Chlamydomonas reinhardtii: one gene and its partners. The protein of the gene in region 2 binds, or shares a complex with, the protein of the main gene of each other region. Links are inferred from orthologs where the notes say so. Each region holds a gene or a part of one and is shown on either strand. Other genes may lie near its edges. The genes, in order: CHLRE_12g498050v5, CHLRE_13g573450v5 and CHLRE_12g487600v5.

Region 1 (6,309 bases), on a different chromosome or scaffold from region 2:
ACACCAGTGTCCGTGTGGGGCGGGCCACGTAGGCCTGCAGCGAAGGCGCGGCGTCGCCTGCGCCCCCGGGCCCGGCCGTCGGCCCCTCGTCCAGCCTCAGAGCCATAGCACACTCTCCAGGTGAGTCCCACCTGACGCCACAGGGAAGGTAGACGGGTAGGCAGGAGTCACAGGAAGGAGGCATCCGGCGTTTGCAAGTACGGTAGGTCTGCCGTCCCGCGCGCCAGCATCTCGCAGCCCCGCCCCCCGCCCACCAGTTTCCCAGGTGTGCCGAGGCGCGCTTCACGCACCTGCTCCCCACGTGCACAGCCAGCCTCAGCCCCAGCCCCGCGTCCAGCAGGTGGGCCGCCTGCGCCGCACTCAGCCCGCGCCGCTGCAGCTCCCACTGCAGGTCAACCACCTGCAGCAGCGCAGCCACGGAGCATGTGTACACGAATTGTGATGCTGTGGTTACAACGGCAGCCGCAAACCCTATGCGCATCAGGTCGCACCTGCAGCTGTTTCTATAGATAGATAGGCCAACCCTGGAGAAGTGCACACAACAAAACACACGCACACGCCACACACACCTGCACCACCTCAGACCAGCTGCCAAGCATAGCCAGACACGGCCGCTCGACTGCGTGTGATGTGGACGTGGCAGCTGATGCCGGTGCGCCTGGTCCATGTCGAGCAAGCGCAACGACATCAACAGGCCCTGAGTCGGCCGCCTCCGGCTCCGTTGCCGGCTGGCCTCTCAGAAGCAGCCCCTCTTCTAGCGCCGCCACCCCTTCAGAGGCAAACTCGCGCAAACCCTGCAGAGCCCGTCGCATTGCGGACGCCAATCTGCCAGCGCCGCCGCCTGCGCCCTCACCACCCGTGCCAGTAGCTGCCGCAGCGTGCCGACAGGAGGGATATGGCAGCGGGGGCGGGGGTGCCAGCGGCTGAGCATGAGGCAAAACAGGATTGGCGGGCCCGCCCATCCTGTTTTGCGGTGGCTGCTGCTGCTGTTGCGGCTGCGCTTGCGCCGACGGTGCAGCCGGTGCGGCTCTTCGTGGCAAGGGCGGCGGTGTCATCCCCTGCGGCACCCGCTCCCATGACACCTCCTTGCCTACAGACTGGTTCACCACCTACGTGTGCAAACAGAAAGCGCGGCCGCGGCGTGGCGGTAGCTAGGTGGATGTCAGGGTACGAGGACATATGCGTGGATTGACACTGGGTACAACCGTACGTGCAATCGTCCCCAAACCTACAGGCAACCCTACTGTAGTTTTGGGCTTAGCGCGGCCGCGTATTCCCTGACCCGCATGCACCCTGCCACTCACCCAGGCCGTCCTCTCCACGCCTCCTCCCCACAGCGTGGGTGTATTGCACTCCCGTCGGAAGCCCTGTTGGTGCAGGCACGAAACAACGAGGGGATGGTCTCGACATAAACGCTGGGTCCCATATGCCCCAGCTCACTATCCAGCACGCTATTTGCCATAGATTGCGGCTTTGCATTCGGCACTCACGGGGTTGCGCAGCAGGTTGCGGCCGCACAGGGCGAGGTACAGGTGGCCCAGCCGCAACGGGCGGGACCCCAGCGCTTGAAGCGCTGCCAGCTGTGACTGCGTGCGGATGTGGGTGCGGTTGCGTCATCGTAATGCACAGGTCGCGCGCTGTGTGGGGGTGGTCGGGCACCTTGAAACAAGAAGCAAGGCCCAACGCACCAGCGCATGTGGCGGAATGTGCTCCTGCCACACCGATGTCTCCATCGTTGCAGCCCGGAAAGTCGTGCAAACTGATGGAACAGACAGTGCCAGCGTCTCAGCGTCCACCATTGACAGGATGGTATTGAGGAGCTCCCCGGGCAGGTCGACTAATGTTGGCGGCGTTGCGGTCGCCTTCATTTCGGCAATGCGGGTTAACATGTTTGGGCTGGGACAGTCACGCTCGCTGCTAGCCGGCATTGAAGTGACTTGTTTGCAGACAATGCAGGCTGCGTCGCGCGTAAGCCGTGACCGTAATTACTTCGTGTGCGCGTGAGACTGGCCTCGAGTTGACACCGCTGCGAGTGCGAGTTCTAGGGCTTATACGGCATGAGTGCCTTGGAGGCACATAAGTGTATACGTGAAACTCTTATCTTATGAGGACCTGACATTCGTGCAGAGGTAGCTACCCTCACTGCGCTGTCTGTGAAGGTGGCCGTTGGATCCAGCGTCTTCATCAAAAGGGCCTCAGTGCCTCACTGCCTCACCTTCTGCACAGACTGGAGAACAACCTCAATGTAATGTGTATCACTGCTTAGTAGCAAGCAGGCAAGAGTGCAAGACCAAGAGCTTGCGCTGCCAGGCCAGCCAGGCTCCGCCCCCCCCTGGGCCCAACCGCGTCAGACATTGCCGCTACGGGTTGGGCGAACCCTTTCTGCTTGTGCTTGATGAGCATGCAAGGGTGGGGGAGGTACAGCACGTTCTACTTCGGCCCGCCTGTCATGTCTAGATATGCGTACCGTGGGCGGCATAGTGACTTAAAACCTTTGGGGGTCCAAGAGACGAGGGGGGGGGGGGCGCTTGAGTGTGTGTCGATCTGACGAGCGATGCAGCCGAAAGGCTGCCCCTATGCCGACCCCGCTGGCTATCAATACCTAAAGCTCTCAAACAAGCAGTTTCGCGTCCTCTACAAGTCGAGTGGCCCGTCGTGAAGGTTACTTACGTTTGCTTTGAGCGCTCGGGCTCATCGGATGGCAAAAAGGAACTGTAACTAATCTAAACGTTAGATAGCACGCAAGAGCTGCTTGACTTAGATAGGATGGCAGCAACGGCGAAGCGGAAAATAGATGAAGGGCCCGCTGACGGCGAGCCTGACACGTCCACGCATGCACATATCATTCCTCTAGGAGCTGGCTCAGAAGTGGGCCGCTCATGTATTATCTTCAAGTACCAGTGAGTGCGGGGTGATCGATGGCCAGCACGCTCGTCGCGAACGCTTACATATACGCACCGCACACAGGGACAAGACTGTTATGTTTGACTGTGGCATCCATCCCGCCTTCAAGGGAATGGATAGCCTGCCCCTGCTGGACGAAATCGACATTGACACGGTGGACGTGGCGCTCATCACCCACTTCCACCTGGATCACTGCGCCGCGGTCCCCTACCTGCTGCGAAAGACCCGCTTCAAGGTGCGGGATGAATGTGGCGGTAGGGCAGGGGTTGGAGGCTGGGCGGCATGATGGAGCTGCTGTTGCGGAGGGGCAGTAAAGCACAGACTCAGCCGGGGTGCAAGGCCCGCAAGCGCAGTACGTCGCCCGCCAGCAGAGGCGTGGGTCCGCGGCGAACGCTGCGCACGTCGGTGCCGCCCAGGATTGGGCGGGTTTGGTGGGTTTCAGTATAGCGTACTGCCTCCACTCGTCATCCTCCGGGGCCATGCACACACGGCGCAACCCGCTCTGCCCCCCGCCCTTCAACTCCACACCCCTATCTCTGCTGCCCGAATGCCGGGATTACTTGCTGCGTTTCCTGCTTGCTTGCACCCTTGCCCCTGTATTTGATCCATTGCACATCCTCCGCTCCCCTCTCCTCCCCTCCTCTCACTGGACAGGGCCGCATCTTCATGACGCACCCCACCAAGGCCATCTACTACTCGCTGCTGCGGGACCTGGCCAAGGGCTCCAAGCACAGCAGCGAGGTGCGGGGCTGGGGGGATAGTTCATTCGAATCCTAAAATAAAGGGGGGTAGCCATTCATGCGAATGGCTAAACTAAGCCAAGCCAAATTAGCGGAGCACAGGCAAAGGCGGCAGTCGCCAGCGAGAAGACTTACGGGAGGTGGGGGAGGGCGCCCGTGGCGGCCCGGAAGGAGGGAGAGGGAAGCCGGGTTTTACTCACGAAGGCTGTCAGGGCGCCCTATGTCCTTGTCACCCCCACCCCGCCCCCCCCCCCCACACCAAATCGCCGCGATGCCCCTTCTGCCGCCCCCTTTCTCTTTACAATCTTGATGATCATGGAAACGGTGCAAACAGCTTGCTTCCACTTCTCCTCGGGTTCTTATTGGCCTCCGGAACGAACTTCCCCTTTCCCTCCGCCTCCCCGCCTGCAGGAGGCTTTGTTCAATGAGGACGACCTGGAGGCCAGCATGCAGCGCATCGAGGTGGTGGACTTCTACCAGACCATCGAGGTGGCGGGAATGCAGGTGCGATCGGGTGTGTGTGTTGGGGGCGGGGGGCGGGATGTGGGGGCGAGGGGGCAGCGGGGAGGTGGGAGGTGGTGGTGGTTGGGTGGGCGAGTTGGTGGCTGGGTCGGTGGGCGCGTCAGTCGGTGGTGCGGGGCCGGGCAGCACCGGGGTGGGGGCAGCGCAAGTGGGGAGGGTGGGGTGCAGCAAGAGCACGCTGGGACAAATGCGCGGGCCGCTTCCCGGATCACACGCCACGGATCAGCGCCAGGTCCCGAGGCGCTGATCCGCGCCGTGTGGCCTGCATGGTGTGGCTGCTGCTCGCGCTCTGTCGCTGCACTGCTCGCCCGTACCAGCTCCCCTTTCTTCCCCCCGGGCGGCTATACCTTGATTATTGGGACCTACCGTGTTTCGTTAGGCTTGCGCACACAATCCCCCCTGCTGCTGCCCTTGCGCCTGCAGATCACGCCGTACCGGGCCGGCCACGTGCTGGGTGCCGCCATGTTCCTGGTGGAGGTGGCGGGCTGCAGGTGCCTCTACACAGGCGACTACAGCCGCCTGCCGGACAGGCACCTGCCCGCGGCAGACATACCGCCCGTCAAGCCGCACATAGGTGAGCTGGTGGCGGCGGCGGCGGCTGGAGCGAGTGGTGGAGGGTAGGGACACAGGGTAGGGGCCCCGGCGGGGCTTGGTGGCGGGGTGCGGGCGGTGCGGGTCATGGTGGGCCAGCAGTGTCCCTGTTGCCCTTGTTCATGCGCATGCGTGGAGTGGATTGCGATGCGAATTCTCATGTTGTTGCTGCTGTGCTGCTGTGCTGCTGTGCTGCTGTGCTGCGGTGCTGCTGCTGCTGCTGCTTGCTGCAGTGATTGTGGAGAGCACGTACGGCACCAGCCGGCACCTGCCCCGCCTGCAGCGCGAGCAGCTGCTGCTGGACACCATCCGCAACACCATCAACCGCGGCGGCCGAGTCATCATGCCCGTGGTGGCGCTGGGGCGCGCGCAGGTGGGGCAGCCGGCGAGCGCGAGGGGAACTGGGGGAGGAGGATACTTGTCAAAGCAGCCATGGCTGGTCGGCGGGCTGTGGTCTCGCGCACGCACTGCCAGTCCCGCGCATCCATCCCTACCCATCTCATACCCAATGCAATCTACCTGCCGTGTGGCCACGCCGCCTGCCTGTGCCCCCACTCCCGCAGGAGCTGCTGCTGCTGCTGGACGAGTATTGGGAGGCGCACAAGTCGGAGCTGAGCGGCATACCCATATACCAGGTGTGTGTGTGTGTGCGCTTGTGCGCTTGTGCGCTCACCAATGCGCACTCCGACTGCTGGCGGCACCCAAGGGCTGGCATGTATTAAATCTTTGCTGCCTAGCTTCTCAACAACGCACCCAGTAGCAACGCCTACTCCTTCAGAACCTCCTCCACTCTTCTCCGGCCGGGCCCCCCCCCCAAATCGTCGTACAAAGTAGTATGCATGGACCCCACCCACCCGCCCCACAGGCCAGCTCTATGATGAGCAAGGCACTTGGTGTGTACCAGACGTACGTGGAGTCACTCAACGACGACATCAAGAGGGTCTTCCACGTGAGCAGCGGCGAGGCCAAGGGGGGCGGGGCCAAAGGGGGCCAAGGGGGCTGGTTGGGGCCCCCTTGAGGGACAGCGCCCGGTAGCTCGACATGCGGCGCCTGCGGCTTGGCCCAACCCGTGCTGACAGCCCCGCAGCGGTTTTCCCATTATGTACTTACTGTTGCAGTTGTTGCCCTCGTCCAGCGCTCTCCGACCGCTCCACGCGCTAACGATGTCTCCACCCCCTTTCCCTTGCCCCTCTGCGTCCCGTCGCGGCCCTTCAGGAGCGCAACCCCTTCAAGTTCCGGCATGTGCAGACGCTCAAGAACCCCGCCCACTTCATCTCCGACTACAGCGGCCCCTGCGTCATCATGGCCACGCCCTCGGGGCTGCAGAGTGGCGCCAGCCGGGACTTCTTTGAGGCCTGGTGCGAGGACAGCCGCAACACCTGCATCATCTGCGACTTCGCGGTGCAGGTGAGGAGAGGCGGGCTGTCAGTTTAGGGAGGGGCGTGTGTGTGCGTCCGTGCGTCGGTGTGCACGCTGTAGTGCTCAGGGGCGTTCACGTCTATGTGTTTGTTCGTCTGCGCGTCTGTGCGGGTGCAGTGCCAGGGCCTAAGGG
Region 2 (5,703 bases):
CCGCACCCCCCGCCCCGCCCCGCTCCGCTACACTTCCCTTCCACGCACAGGGACGCCAAGCTGTCTGTCCTGGAGTGGGACGTGCGCCACCACACACTGCGCACCACCTCCATGCACTTCTTCCAGGGGGGCCAGCCGCCGCCGCCGCCGCCGCCCGGGCCACCGGGCTCACAGCCGCCGCCGCCGCCGCCCCACTCCATGCACCAACAGCACCAGGGCCCTCAACACCAGGGCCAGGGGCAGGGGCAGCAGCAGCGCGAGGCGCGCACGGCGGTGCCGCTGCCTCCCCGTGTGGTGGCTGACCCGGCGGGTCGGTGTGCGGCAGTGGTCATGTACTTCTGTCAGCTGGCGCTGGTGCCGGCCATTGAGGTGGGGAGAGGGAGTGGGGGGTTTTGGCGTGTGGGTGTGGCGTGTGGGGTTTGGGTGTGGGGTGGGGTGGGTGCCTGGGTGGGGTAGGGGTTTGGGCTTCGCCATCGGCTGAAAGAAGCATGGGACGCCGAGATGGTGCAGAGCGAGCGGGGTGAGATGAAATGGTCGTGGTGGCGATTGTGTTCTACTTGCGTGTTGCGCCCTGCACTGAGAGTCGAGAAGCATCCCCGCACCTGCCCGGATCGGGCTCAACAGTGCATCCCCCTCCTGCTGCTGCTCCATTCCTGCTGCTGCTCCCACACAGGGTGAGGCGCTGGAGGCTCTGAGCGGCTGCTCGGGTGGCGCGGGCAGTGCGGCGGCTGTGGGCAACAGCTATGTGCTCAACCTACACAAGATGATGGGTATCCGCGAGGTGGGGGCCGAGGGGCGGGCGCATGTCCGCGATGTGGGGCGGGGGGTTGCGAGAACCAAACCCAGAGCCTTGCACCGGTCCTGACACGCATCCCGGCTATCGTACGGCACCCCCCGATGGCTGTTCTCCTACCGTCTACCATTTCCTTAGCTTGTATAATTGTAACCTCCTGCCCACGACTAGTCGTGCCTGGAACCTCCCTCTCCCCCTCCCCCTCCCCCTCTTAACTAGTCATGAATGTAACCCCTCCCCTGCCTCCCTCAGGTCCGGGACTGTGTGTTCCTTCACGGCTACACGGAGCCGGTGCTGCTGCTGCTGCACGAGCCCGACCCCACCTGGGCGGGCCGCCTGCGGTGAGGCGCCCGGTGGCGGAGGGGGGGGGCGGAGGGGGGGGGGCCGGGGGGCGGAGGGGGGGGAGAAAAACGCGGGCTGGAGGTGGTTGGGGCTAGCGGTGGTCGGGGCTGGAGGTGGTTGGGGCTAGCGGTGGTCGGGGCTGGAGGTGGTTGGGGCTAGCGGTGGTCGGGGCTGGAGGTGGTTGGGGCTAGCGGTGGTCGGGGCTGGAGGTGGTTGGGTGGGGCCAACCCGTGCTGTTACGGTGCATTCAGAGGCGCATTGTCACTGTTTCGGGGTTGCGGACGTCTAGAGGCGCGCATGCGTGTGGCCGTGGGGGCCCGGGCTGGTTCCGCAGGGCTGGCACACCACAAACCCCTGCCCCTTGCCCACCGCCGTCCTGGCAACTAGCCATGCCTCCTCCACCTCCCGTTCACCCGGCCCCCATCCCCATCCCCATCCCGCCCCCCCCCTGTGGCCCCCACCCAACCCCCCTGGCTCACCCCCCAGCGAGCGCAAGGACACGTGCTGCCTGACCGCCATCTCCGTGTCGCTGCGCCTCAAGCGCCACACCGTGCTGTGGCGCGCCGCCGGCCTGCCCTACGACTGCTACCGCCTGCTGCCGCTGCCGCAGCGGCCCGCGGCGCTGGTGCTCAGCCCCAGCCTGGTCATGCTCACGTCGCAGGTGCGTGGGCTGGGGCTGGGAGGGGCAGAGCACAGCGGTCGAGCACGGCGGTAGGGCACGGTGGACGTGTAGATAGGTTACAACATGGAAGGGTGGGCATTGTGGCATGCTCAGGCGGGGTATGCGGTCGGGTAGTAAGGTGGGTGACCAGTGCGTGCGGTGCGTGCGGTGCGTGCGGTGCGTGCGGTGCGTGCGGTGCGTGCGGTGGGAGGGGAGCCAGCCCCCATGCAAAAGAGTGCTGGTGGCGCCATTCCTTCACTGCTTCTGCTCCTGCTCCAAATCGCCAATCCCCCAACCGCTCACAAGAATGCCTACCCCCCTTACCCCCACGCCACCCCACCCCCCAGGCCTCCCAGCCCCAGGCGGCGGCCCTCAACTCCACCGCTCTGCCCGGCGAGGCGCCGCCGCCGCTGGTGTTCGACCCCGCCCGCGAGGCGCCCTCCGTCACCGCGGCCCGGATGGCGGCGGAGTTCGCGCTCAACGTGCACCCGGTGTGTGTGTGTGTGTGTGTGTGTGTGTGTGTGTGTGTGTGTGTGCGTGTTTGTGTGTGTGCGTGTTTGTGTGTGTGCGTGTATGCGTGTGTAATTGTGTTTGTGTATGTTAGCAAAGCATCATCACTCCGAAGTCGGGGAAAGGCTGGACTCTGCGCATGTTCTCACCCCTCGCCTCTCACCCCTCGCCTCCCTTGTCCCTCTCTCTCACCTCCCACCTCCCACCTCTCGCCTCCCGCCTCTCACCTCCGTTGCTGCTGCTCAGGACTGCGCCCCCGCGCTGGGCCGCTCCGCCGCCCTGGTGGGCGACCTGGAGGCGGTGGCGGCGGGCGCCAGCGCAGCCTGGCTCAGCCCCACCACCTGCCTGCTGGGTGAGGCGTGGGGGGAGGGAGGCGGTGCAGGAGGAGGGCTGTGGGGGCCGGGTCGGGGTTGCAAAGACGGTACAGAGAAGTACAGAGAAGTGTAGCGAGGTAGACATGGCGTGGTTGACTACTCCAGCTTTGGAGGACTGGGTCGACGAGCTGAAGCACCGAAGCGGTTCGGCGGTTGCAGGACGGGTTATGATTGAATGATTGTTGTTGTCGTGATACGACCTCTACCCCATTCTCCCTATATCAGGGGAATGACTCGCAAGTAATAGGCCCTGTTGGGGTCATTCTGTAGTTCACGACAGTTGTCATCAGCCTGACACCGCGCTGCCCCACTCCACCTTGCCTCCCACAGGCCTGCAGAGCGGCTCGCTGCTAGCGCTGCACCTGCGCCTGGAGCCGCACGTGCCGCCGGAGCAGCGCATCACCGCTGTGCGCACAGGCGGAGGGCCGGTGGCCACAGCCATGGTGGGGGGGCAGCTGGGAGGGTCGGGAGCTGGGGGTTGGAGGTGATACCGGCCCAAACTAATCCAAACCCAATGCAAAAGAGCGAGCGGGGTGGGGGTTAATGTGCCCGAGCCCGGTGAAAAAGTCCCATCACACGACGGGTTGTAGGGGTGGGCTGGAGAATGCAGGAGGGACTGGAGCGAGGGGCTGGGAGTTGACCTGGAGATGGAGACGGAGAGGGGGTCGGATTAGCAAGGCATGAACACGAGCGGGCCGGGAAGAACGCGAGCTGCGGCGTTTGGGGGGACACAAGTTGCAGCCATTGGAGCTGGGTGCGTGGCGGTAAAGCGGACCAAGGCTTGCGCGTGACGCCTCTGGTGCCCGGTGTGTAGTCCAGTCCTGGCAGTTCGTATCTTAGTAATGCCCTTCCGCTGTAATGCTCTGCCCTGTGCAGGTGGGACTCACAATGGCAGCGGCGGCGCGCGCGCCCGCCGCCGTGGCGGCGGCGGCCCTGGGCTCCGCCGCCGCCGCCGCCACTGGCAACCTACCGTACGATTTGTACCGCGGACCGAAGGGCCTCATCTTCCTTGGATCCTGGACAGGCGACTCCGTACTCATGCAGTTAAAACCGCGTACGGACAATGCGGCGGAGGGCCCGGCGGCGAAGCGTCAGAAGCGTGTGGGCGGGGCCGACATGGGTGGCGATGGCGGCGGTGCCGGCGCGGCGTTGACCAATCGCAGTGCGGCGGTGGCGGCGGCGGCGGCGGCGGGCGCAGCCGCCGCCGCCAAGGTGGCGGCGGCGGAGGGCGGCGTGGGGCCGCAGCGTTTTAACCTGCGGCTGTTGGACTCCCTGCCGTCACTGGGTGGGTTTCCAAAGGGTCGCGAGAAGGGTCACGTAAACGTGTCAGGTTATCACACGCGTGGCTGATACACCATGCGGTTACGCCTCCTTCTCTTCAGCTCTTACACACGCGTACACTTGTGCACCGCATTGCACACACCGTCCTGCGTGCCTCCTTCCATACCGCTCACTTGCGCATGCTCGCGCACATGTGCACTCGCATGTGACAGGCCCCGTGCGCGACCTCCTCCACGTGGACACCTCCGTGTCGCCGTACACCGCCGGCGGCGGCGGCGGCGGCCCCCTAGGCGCCAGCCGGGGCGGGCCCACCAGCTTCCTGTGTGTGGGGCAGGTGCGTGTGCGCCTTTGTGTTTGTTACTCCGTTGTCGTGCGTTGTAGCGAGATGTGGGCGTCGGACTGCAGCAGTCGATGTGCGCTCCTGCCAAGTGTGACTTGCACCCGCCCGTGCCGCATCCTTACCCACATCAACCACCATACAACCCCAGTCCACCACCACACATACACACACATTACACACACAGGGCAGCTTATAGCCGTATGCCGTCGCGTCGCTGCATCGCACACACATCCTTCGCGCTTACTTTTCCTTGCGCTCTTTACCACACACCACACGCACACACACAGGGCCAGACGGGCGCGCTGGTTCTGGCGCGTCAGGGGCTGGTGCCTGACGTGGTGACTGAGGTGGGGCTGGCGGGCATTGCCGGCGTGTTCGCAGTGCGGCACCGCGACCCAGACGACGACCCAGACGACGGCGGGGGCCCGGCCGAGGAGTTGGCGGCGGAGGCAGACGGGGCCGAGGTCGGCGAAGACGGTGACGGGGAGGCGGCGGCGGAGGGAGAGGCGGAGGGAGAGGCGGAGGGAGATGGCGAGGGAGAGGCGGGGGGCAAGGAGCGGGCTACGAGCCCCAAGCCGGCGGCAGTCAAGCCCCAGCCCGGGGGGACGGAGGCAGACGCCGCCGCCGCCGCCGCCGCTGAGGGCGCCGCTGCTACAGCCGTGAAAGCCGGAGAGCCGGCGGACGGAGCTCCTGCTACAGCCGCCGCTGCCTCGGGCGCCAAGCGCGGCCGCTCGCCGGAGCCAGTGGCGGCGGCGGGCGCCATCGTGCCTGTGTCGCAGCCGGGCAAGGGAGCGGGCGGCGGCGGTGGCGGCGGGGGTCAGCCCAGCTACCACGCCTTCCTGCTCATCACCATGGGCAGGGCGCGGACCATGGTGCTCAAGTGCGCCGAGGGGCTGGACGACGTCACCACCAGGTGTGTGTGTATGTGTGTGTGTGTGTGTGTGTGTGTGTGTGTGTGTGTGTGTGTGTGTGTGACAACGGTTTACAGTTGTTTATCAGATCACGTGATCGTGTATCCGGACAACCCGTAGTTGCTAGTGCCAGGGGCGCATTAGCACCTTGTTTGTCGCGCATGGGTCTGGCAGTACATGTCTCCCAAGCCTACGCGTAGCGTTAGACGTCAGTTTGGCCACAGGAGCCGCACCTCCATCTATTGTGGTTAGACACTGATTTGGCCCTAAGAGCCGCACCTCTGTCTATATTGTGAGACGTCGGTTTGGCCCTAGAAGCCGCACCTCCGTCTATATCAACACTGCTGCGAGCCGGCAGCTGGCCACTATGCATTGTTTGTTCGCCTAGCAAAAAGTCATGTACCGTCCAAGTCCGGCACGTGGCCGCAGCAACCGCAAAACAAGCACCCCGCCGGCACTAGCTACCTTCCCTTCCCCACAGGGCAGGATAT
Region 3 (6,373 bases), on a different chromosome or scaffold from region 2:
TGGGCGGAGGAGGAGGCGGTGGAGGAGGGGACTCTGGGGTGGCGACAGCAATGCTACCGCTGTCACCATCCGGCATCTGTGCTAGCGCGAGCGGCAGCAAGGATGTTGCTGGGTGGGGCTGGGGCGGCGGCAGTCCCTTGGGCGGTGCTGCTGCCCAGAGCCTGTTTGTGGTGGACGGTGTCAGTCGGTCTGTGCGTTTAACATCAGCTCCTATGGGGGCGCCCGGCCCCCGCAGCAGCGGTCGCAGGGCTTAGGCGCGTTGGGCGTAGAGGGACGCAGAACACACACGCACAGGTTCAATATGCAACGGTAGCTGTGAGTTCGGCGTTATGCGGGCCAAGAAGGATGCGATGCGAGGCTTGCTCAAGTATACGGTATGAAGGGTCAGTAGCAATGGCATGTTATTCATGTTCTTCATGTGTTTAGTTAACGCTTTGCTTGGGGAGTGCCGAGGAGTGCCGAACTTGGATTGCCGGGATGTGTGCTCACGAGGCCCGTGCGGGCGCCGCGACACCGGCAGGTTCTGTTAAAGATGCATGGGTGGAATGTTCAAGCAAGCCGGCCTGACGCACAAAATAACCTGTGGCAGCCTGTGTGGGTACAAGTTGCCCTGTGGAACAGTGGAAGGAGCAAGGAGCCGAGGTGCGTGCGTGAGGGTATGCGCGACTTTACAGGGCAGGCGCAGGCGCATGCAGCAGGACGAGCTTAACGCAGTGACAAAGGCGCCCGAAAAAGCAACCAGCTTACACAAACACCAGCACCCGAACAGCGTCGCCAAAGGCAAACCGCAGACGGCTGGTACTTCTCGGAACGGAATGCCGTTGCACCGCAGCCGTTAGTACCGAGCAACCCACCCATCCTCTGGGCACACGCCCTTGCATTGTACCGTAAATTGATAGAATTGCATCGCTATAATCAAATAGTTTCAAATTAACGACAAGCGGTTCCGATGCTCCAATGAAAGCGCGAAAGCGACTCCTCCATTAGCTCTAGCCAAGCCGCCTGCTGTTCCATCAATACTCATACTTGTTGATTACATCAATATGTGCAAGACAATAGCCCGGCCGTGCAACACAAGCGGTGTGGCGCCGGATTGGTTGCCATCGTGGACGCTGGTTCGCAGTCTTACAATGTGCCTGCCATTCGCAAGCGTTATCCATGCATAGTATGCGTCGCTTGATCGGGTCATGCATGTGCGCAGGGCCTCGACCGCTACACCCTGGCGGCGTGTCAGTACCAAAGTGCAAGCCAGCCCAAGGCACCCTACCTACCTGCCTAAGCCGGCGGGCACACCTCCCGCGGCGCGGAGACAGTCATGCGCGGGTGGGTATACCCGGGATAGTGTGTTCGGTGTGCAGCACTGAATGCGCTTACGTCGGAGTCCTCACATGGAACTTGAAGGCTATGTGGCCACGCTATGTGGCCCAAAAGGCGCTTTACCAGAACCTTGGGGACTACCCGGAGGGCAGGCAGTGCCAGAATGCAGTGCCGTGGGTGGCGGTATGTCCGGACGAGTGCATGGCATGTCCGCATGTGCCTGCATCCGTCACCGCGTCACGTATTTCTAAGATGCCAGCACGTCCGCATGCTGACAGGCCTTGTCCGTGGTGTTCGTTCTGCCCCTTCCCACCAGGCGAGCGGCGCTGCCCGAAGCCCCACCCGCACCCGGCTGGGGCGTCGGGCGCCGCCGCTCCCCCGCTTGCATGACTGGCTCCTCGCCGGCTGTGAGGCCTGCCCGCTGGCGGCTGTGGGTGCTGGTGCTGGCTCAAGTGCTGATGCCTTCTATGCAACATATGAACTGCTGTGGGACTGGATGGCGTATGGCTGTGCCAGGCATTCTGCATGCGGGCACGTATGTAGTGAGTTGATGGCCGTGGTCGATGGGTGTGCGATGGAACAGTGCTAAGGCAGGTTGGTGAAGTTCCGTAGGGTGCAGCTGATTTCCAGATCCCAGCAGATGGCAGACAACTTGCAATTGCAGTGCAGGAGCGCGCGGAACGATGGGTGCTTGACATGGCACACGACTACCGGTGACAACAGGCCAACAGCTAAAAAGTTCCGTAGGGGCGTGTCCGCAGAGTGCGCGCGCACGCAGGCCATTATAGGTAGCCCTGACTGGCCCTGAGTTCCGGTGGAGGTTTGCATGAAAAGCACAGTGGCGATATCCTGAGGTGTGACGGGAGGCGCCCGGTGCGGTTCATGTTGAGGGCACGCTCAGCCGAACACATCCAAATGGTCGAGGTGCTGGAAAGGAGCAGGGTTGCGTTTGTTACCGCCGCTTCTCAGTGCGCCTCCTAGTATGATAGCCACACGGAAAACACGATGCCACAAAAGAAGCGGCTTGAAGTTGTTGGCGTGGCGTTCGAGCAATGTGAGGGCAGTCGCCGATTCAAGAATCCCGTCCTGTAACCTTGAAACGAGGGTCATATACTCCCACCCTGTGAGCATGTCAGCACACACCGGTCACCTATGTCAGCCATCGGTGAGATGTCAGCGCCCCGGCGCCAGGCCGAGACGACTTCAACACGGCGGGGAAGGGAGGGGAAAACCCGGCACGCTCCGGCCATCGCGCCACACTAAACGTTTGTCGCGGGGGCCATTGCGATGGTCATCACTTACAAGTTCAAAGCAAAGCATTTCAACACATATCTGCGTCAGCGAGCTGTGTCTTTTGCGCAAGTAGTTTTGCCAGGTTTCTTGCAGTGCTTGTTTACGCGATCCAGCACACTTTAGATGAGCATAATGTAGACAATTCATCGTTAAGACCTCATGACAATACAAACACACGAGCGCGCGGAAATGGGCGACGCGCCGGGAAGGTCGAGGCGCTGAACTATAGCCTAGCGAAAGCATGGAGACAGTTGTCAGGTACACGCCGCTATGCGGCGTTGGCGAGGACTCGCCGCTGTGCTCACTGTTAGAGATTGACGACTACACCATCCTCCTGGACTGCGGCTGGGACGACAGCTTTGATGTTGCGCTGCTGGACCCAGTGCTCAAGTGCGTATGTGTGGCTCAGGGGAACTTCAGGAGGGCGGGTGAACTGGAAGGGATGGGCAGGGGGAAGGGGCGTGGGGAAGGGGTAGAAAGGGCCAAGGGAAGGGGCGTGTCTTTGGAACTCTGCCCAAAGAGTCCCTGTGTCCGGCGTGTGCCGCCGCCTGCATCCCTTTCCGCCTCCACCGCCACCCCCTCCCACCCCTGTCCATCCCCATGCTCCCCGGCACTCTCCCGCCACCTCATCCTCTCCCTCACCACCACCCCACCAGGGTGCTCCCGCGCATCGACGCGGTGCTGCTGTCCCACCCCTCGCCCGCGCACCTGGGCTCACTGCCCTACCTGGTGGGCCGCTGCGGGCTGGCGGCGCCGGTGTTCTCCACCAAGCCCACTCGCCGCATGGGCGAGATGTTCATGTTCGAGGCGTGCCTGGCGCACCAGGTGGGGAGGGGGAGGGGGAGGGGGGGGGGTTGCGGAGGGCGAGAGGGGAGGAAGGGGAGAGGGGTAGGGGAGCGGGGTGCTGTGAGTGTGAGAGATGTTGAACGCGGGATAAAGGGGTTGCCGAGGGTGGGAGAATGGGAGAAAGGGCTGGGGGAGAGGTACAGGATGGCTGTAGGGGATTTGTTTGCACGATGCCTGTGAGCGTCCGGGTGAGTGTGGGCCACTGGGGCGGGTTGGGAGGTGCGAGCGTGTCAAGACAGCATGGGTGGTTGTGTCTGCGGGCGAGGCCGGGACAGACTGTGTGGTCGTCCAATCCCGCGCACGGGTCTCCATCCTCGTATCCCACGATCAAGGCCTTCCATGCGGTCAGCTTACCGCCCCCTTCCTTTCCCTTGCTGTTCATGCTTCCCCCCCTGCTGCAACGACCTGTCAACATCACCGCGTCTTGATCAATCATGCATGGAATCCCCCTCTTATCTAATCACTCCATTCGCCGCATGAACGGCTACCCCCTCCCTGGGAATCGTGGTATCCAGGCCGTGTCGGACTTCGCCGCATACGACCTAGACGACGTGGACGCCGGGTTCCGACTGCACCCCCGCTGGACCGAGCTGCGCTACAGCCAGAAGCACCTGCTACTGCCGCCCGCGGCGCCCGGTGCTACAGCCGGCGAGGCGGGCGCAGCGGGGGCGGCGGGCGGGGGTCAGGGGCCGGCGGGCGGCGGCATTGCCATCACGCCACTGCCTGCGGGCCGCTACCCGGGCGGTGCAGTGTGGCGGCTGACGCTGTTGGGCAGTGGGCAGGAGGTGGTGTATGCGGTGGACTTCAACCACCGCAAGGAGAGGTGAGGCGGCGGGATGGGGGCGGCGCGTGGGGAGGGGGGGGGAGGCATTGTCTGTCGCCATGCACTGTAAGCTGTAGAAGCAACGGAGAGAAGGGGAGGCAGCATGCGCAATAAAGCCGGGGGGGGAGCTCAGAGGCCTTGCCATCGGTGATGCGACGCTGACATGACGGTGCCCTATGCGTTGCGCCGCCGCCCACTCCCTCTCCCCCGCTGTGGGCTGCTTAGGCTTCTGGGCCCCGGTGACTCGGTGACGTGGGGATTGGAGTTGACTGCCGGCCTCTCCGCCACCCCCACCCCCCACAGGCTTCTGAACGAGACCACTTTCACCACCGCACTGGCGGCGCTGCAGCCGGCGCTGCTCATTGGCGACGCGGTGAACGGCCTGGCGCCGCCGGCCCCGCCCCGACACAAGCGGGATGAGGAGTTCCTGGGTGCGTGCGCGTCATGGCCGGGCGCGTTTGCCGTTTGTGTGCACGCTGGGGCGTTGCTGGGCGTTACTTCGTTGCTCGCTCGCGGGCCCATGGCTTGGGCAGTGGGAGTCGCGGTGGCTGGAACCCTCCCTGTGATGTATGCACTCCGTCTTGCATACGGCTCCCCCCTCCGCTAGTTTGGCTTCGTTTGGTTCAGTTTGAGCTGGTATTCACAACCCCCACCCACTACCACTTCCTTAACTCTTCAAGAATGTACCCCCCTCTTGGTGTGACAGACGCCATCACGGCCACGGTGGAGGGCGAGGGCAACGTGCTCATACCCACGGACGCGGCGGGGCGAGTGTTGGAGCTGGCGCTGCTGCTGGACGAGCACTTCGCGCGGGCCAGGTGCGTGTGTGTGCGCGTGTCATCACCTCTTTACTTCTTGTTTGCATGTGGAGGTATATGTATGTGTGTTTGTGTGTGTATATGTGCGACAAGGTGTTGGGGTCTCGCCTCGTCGACTCAGGAGTTTCGCAGATCGGGCACTGCCCCTTCCCACTCCCCACGTGGCGCCACCCACCCACAGGATTGCGGCCACGCCTGTGGTGTTGTCGTACACGATCAAGACGGTGCTGGAGTTCGCGCGGACGCAGCTCGAATACCTGGGCAGCGAGATGGTGCAGGTGTGTGTGCGTGTGTGTGTGTGTGTGTGTGTGTGTGTGCGTGTGTGTGTGTGTGTGTGTGTGTGTGTGTGTGTGTGTGTGTGTGTGCGCATGCGTGTGTTACGGCAGCGCAAGGGTGAGGGTTGACACCGTGCGCGCTGAATCAGCAAGCAAGCAACGCCGCGTTTGTGTGAGCGTGTTTCATAGCATGAAGGAAAGCAGGACTGTGCATTCGATACAGAGTCTGTGTACTGGAATGTGCGTGTGCCCGAGTGTGGCAGCGTGTGTCTGCCGGGGCCCGGCCAGCGGACCCGACTGTGGGTGCCCCGACGCGCCAGCCCGGCATGCCCGCTGACCCGGCGCGCCCGCCCGCCAACTCACAATGCCAATACGGTCCACAATGCCAACGCCCCGCCTGTGCCCCCCCTCTCCCTCTCCCTCGCAGGCCTTCTCCCACAAGCGCACCATCCCCTTCACCTTCCGCAAGCTGGCCGTCATCACGCGGCTCGAAGACCTGGGGGCCATACCCGGACCCAAGGTGCGGCTGCGCGTTGTCGTGTGTGCATGTGGAGAAGCACGTTGCAGGGTAGAAGCGTTTTTGGCCATGTGTGTTTTACATGTTACGCCCAACCCGATGCGTTGGGATTCTCCCGTTTGGTCGTCAGCGGGGAGTCTGTCCCATGCCCGGCTTTACATAATGGCCATGCTCTCAGCAGCCAAACCTGGCATCCCTCCGCTTTCTCCCGCTGCCCCACCCGGTCGCGCCAGGACTGATCTGCTGCAACCTGTCAGCAACACCTCGTCTTGATTAAATCATGCATGGAACCCCCCTGTGCTCCGCTCGTTTTCAGTTGGTTTTGGTTTAGTTTTGGCTGGTATTTACAACCCCCCCCCTCAGGTTGTGTTGGCGACGCTGCCCTCCCTGGACTGCGGCCCGGCCCGCCAGTTGCTGGTGGATTGGGCGGCAGCGCCCCGCAACACCATCATATTCACGGAGCGGGCAAATGTGCGTGTGCGTG

What was found.
Region 1: CHLRE_13g573450v5 (region 2) and CHLRE_12g498050v5 share a complex: the UniProt entries of both Arabidopsis thaliana proteins name them as parts of the CPSF complex. The link is inferred for Chlamydomonas reinhardtii from reciprocal best matches to the Arabidopsis thaliana genes CPSF160 and CPSF73-I.
Region 3: CHLRE_13g573450v5 (region 2) and CHLRE_12g487600v5 share a complex: the UniProt entries of both Arabidopsis thaliana proteins name them as parts of the CPSF complex. The link is inferred for Chlamydomonas reinhardtii from reciprocal best matches to the Arabidopsis thaliana genes CPSF160 and CPSF100.

Annotation. Positions count from the first base shown.
Region 1 is NC_057015.1:3,285,542-3,291,850, reverse strand, and holds the start of CHLRE_12g498050v5 (uncharacterized protein), read left to right. Parts: upstream 1-2,602; 5' UTR 2,603-2,766; coding exon 2,767-2,900; intron 2,901-2,967; coding exon 2,968-3,139; intron 3,140-3,558; coding exon 3,559-3,645; intron 3,646-4,055; coding exon 4,056-4,148; intron 4,149-4,589; coding exon 4,590-4,740; intron 4,741-4,990; coding exon 4,991-5,130; intron 5,131-5,320; coding exon 5,321-5,392; intron 5,393-5,622; coding exon 5,623-5,706; intron 5,707-5,972; coding exon 5,973-6,164; intron 6,165-6,309. Other genes in the region: CHLRE_12g498000v5 (uncharacterized protein), read right to left, coding at 1-131, 291-400, 570-1,109, 1,305-1,367, 1,491-1,586, 1,689-1,868. UniProt on the Arabidopsis thaliana protein: Component of the cleavage and polyadenylation specificity factor (CPSF) complex that play a key role in pre-mRNA 3'-end formation, recognizing the AAUAAA signal sequence and interacting with poly(A) polymerase and other factors to bring about cleavage and poly(A) addition.
Region 2 is NC_057016.1:1,600,746-1,606,448, forward strand, and holds part of CHLRE_13g573450v5 (uncharacterized protein), read left to right. Parts: intron 1-50; coding exon 51-369; intron 370-673; coding exon 674-781; intron 782-1,045; coding exon 1,046-1,134; intron 1,135-1,621; coding exon 1,622-1,796; intron 1,797-2,143; coding exon 2,144-2,287; intron 2,288-2,552; coding exon 2,553-2,658; intron 2,659-3,010; coding exon 3,011-3,123; intron 3,124-3,556; coding exon 3,557-3,965; intron 3,966-4,173; coding exon 4,174-4,295; intron 4,296-4,588; coding exon 4,589-5,214; intron 5,215-5,703. UniProt on the Arabidopsis thaliana protein: CPSF plays a key role in pre-mRNA 3'-end formation, recognizing the AAUAAA signal sequence and interacting with poly(A)polymerase and other factors to bring about cleavage and poly(A) addition.
Region 3 is NC_057015.1:1,469,625-1,475,997, forward strand, and holds the start of CHLRE_12g487600v5 (uncharacterized protein), read left to right. Parts: upstream 1-2,610; 5' UTR 2,611-2,851; coding exon 2,852-3,000; intron 3,001-3,266; coding exon 3,267-3,435; intron 3,436-3,971; coding exon 3,972-4,279; intron 4,280-4,582; coding exon 4,583-4,710; intron 4,711-4,985; coding exon 4,986-5,097; intron 5,098-5,278; coding exon 5,279-5,375; intron 5,376-5,799; coding exon 5,800-5,892; intron 5,893-6,252; coding exon 6,253-6,360; intron 6,361-6,373. Other genes in the region: CHLRE_12g487650v5 (uncharacterized protein), read left to right, coding at 1-254; CHLRE_12g487652v5 (uncharacterized protein), read left to right, coding at 1,188-1,323, 1,634-1,707. UniProt on the Arabidopsis thaliana protein: CPSF plays a key role in pre-mRNA 3'-end formation, recognizing the AAUAAA signal sequence and interacting with poly(A)polymerase and other factors to bring about cleavage and poly(A) addition. Required for antisense-RNA-mediated gene silencing.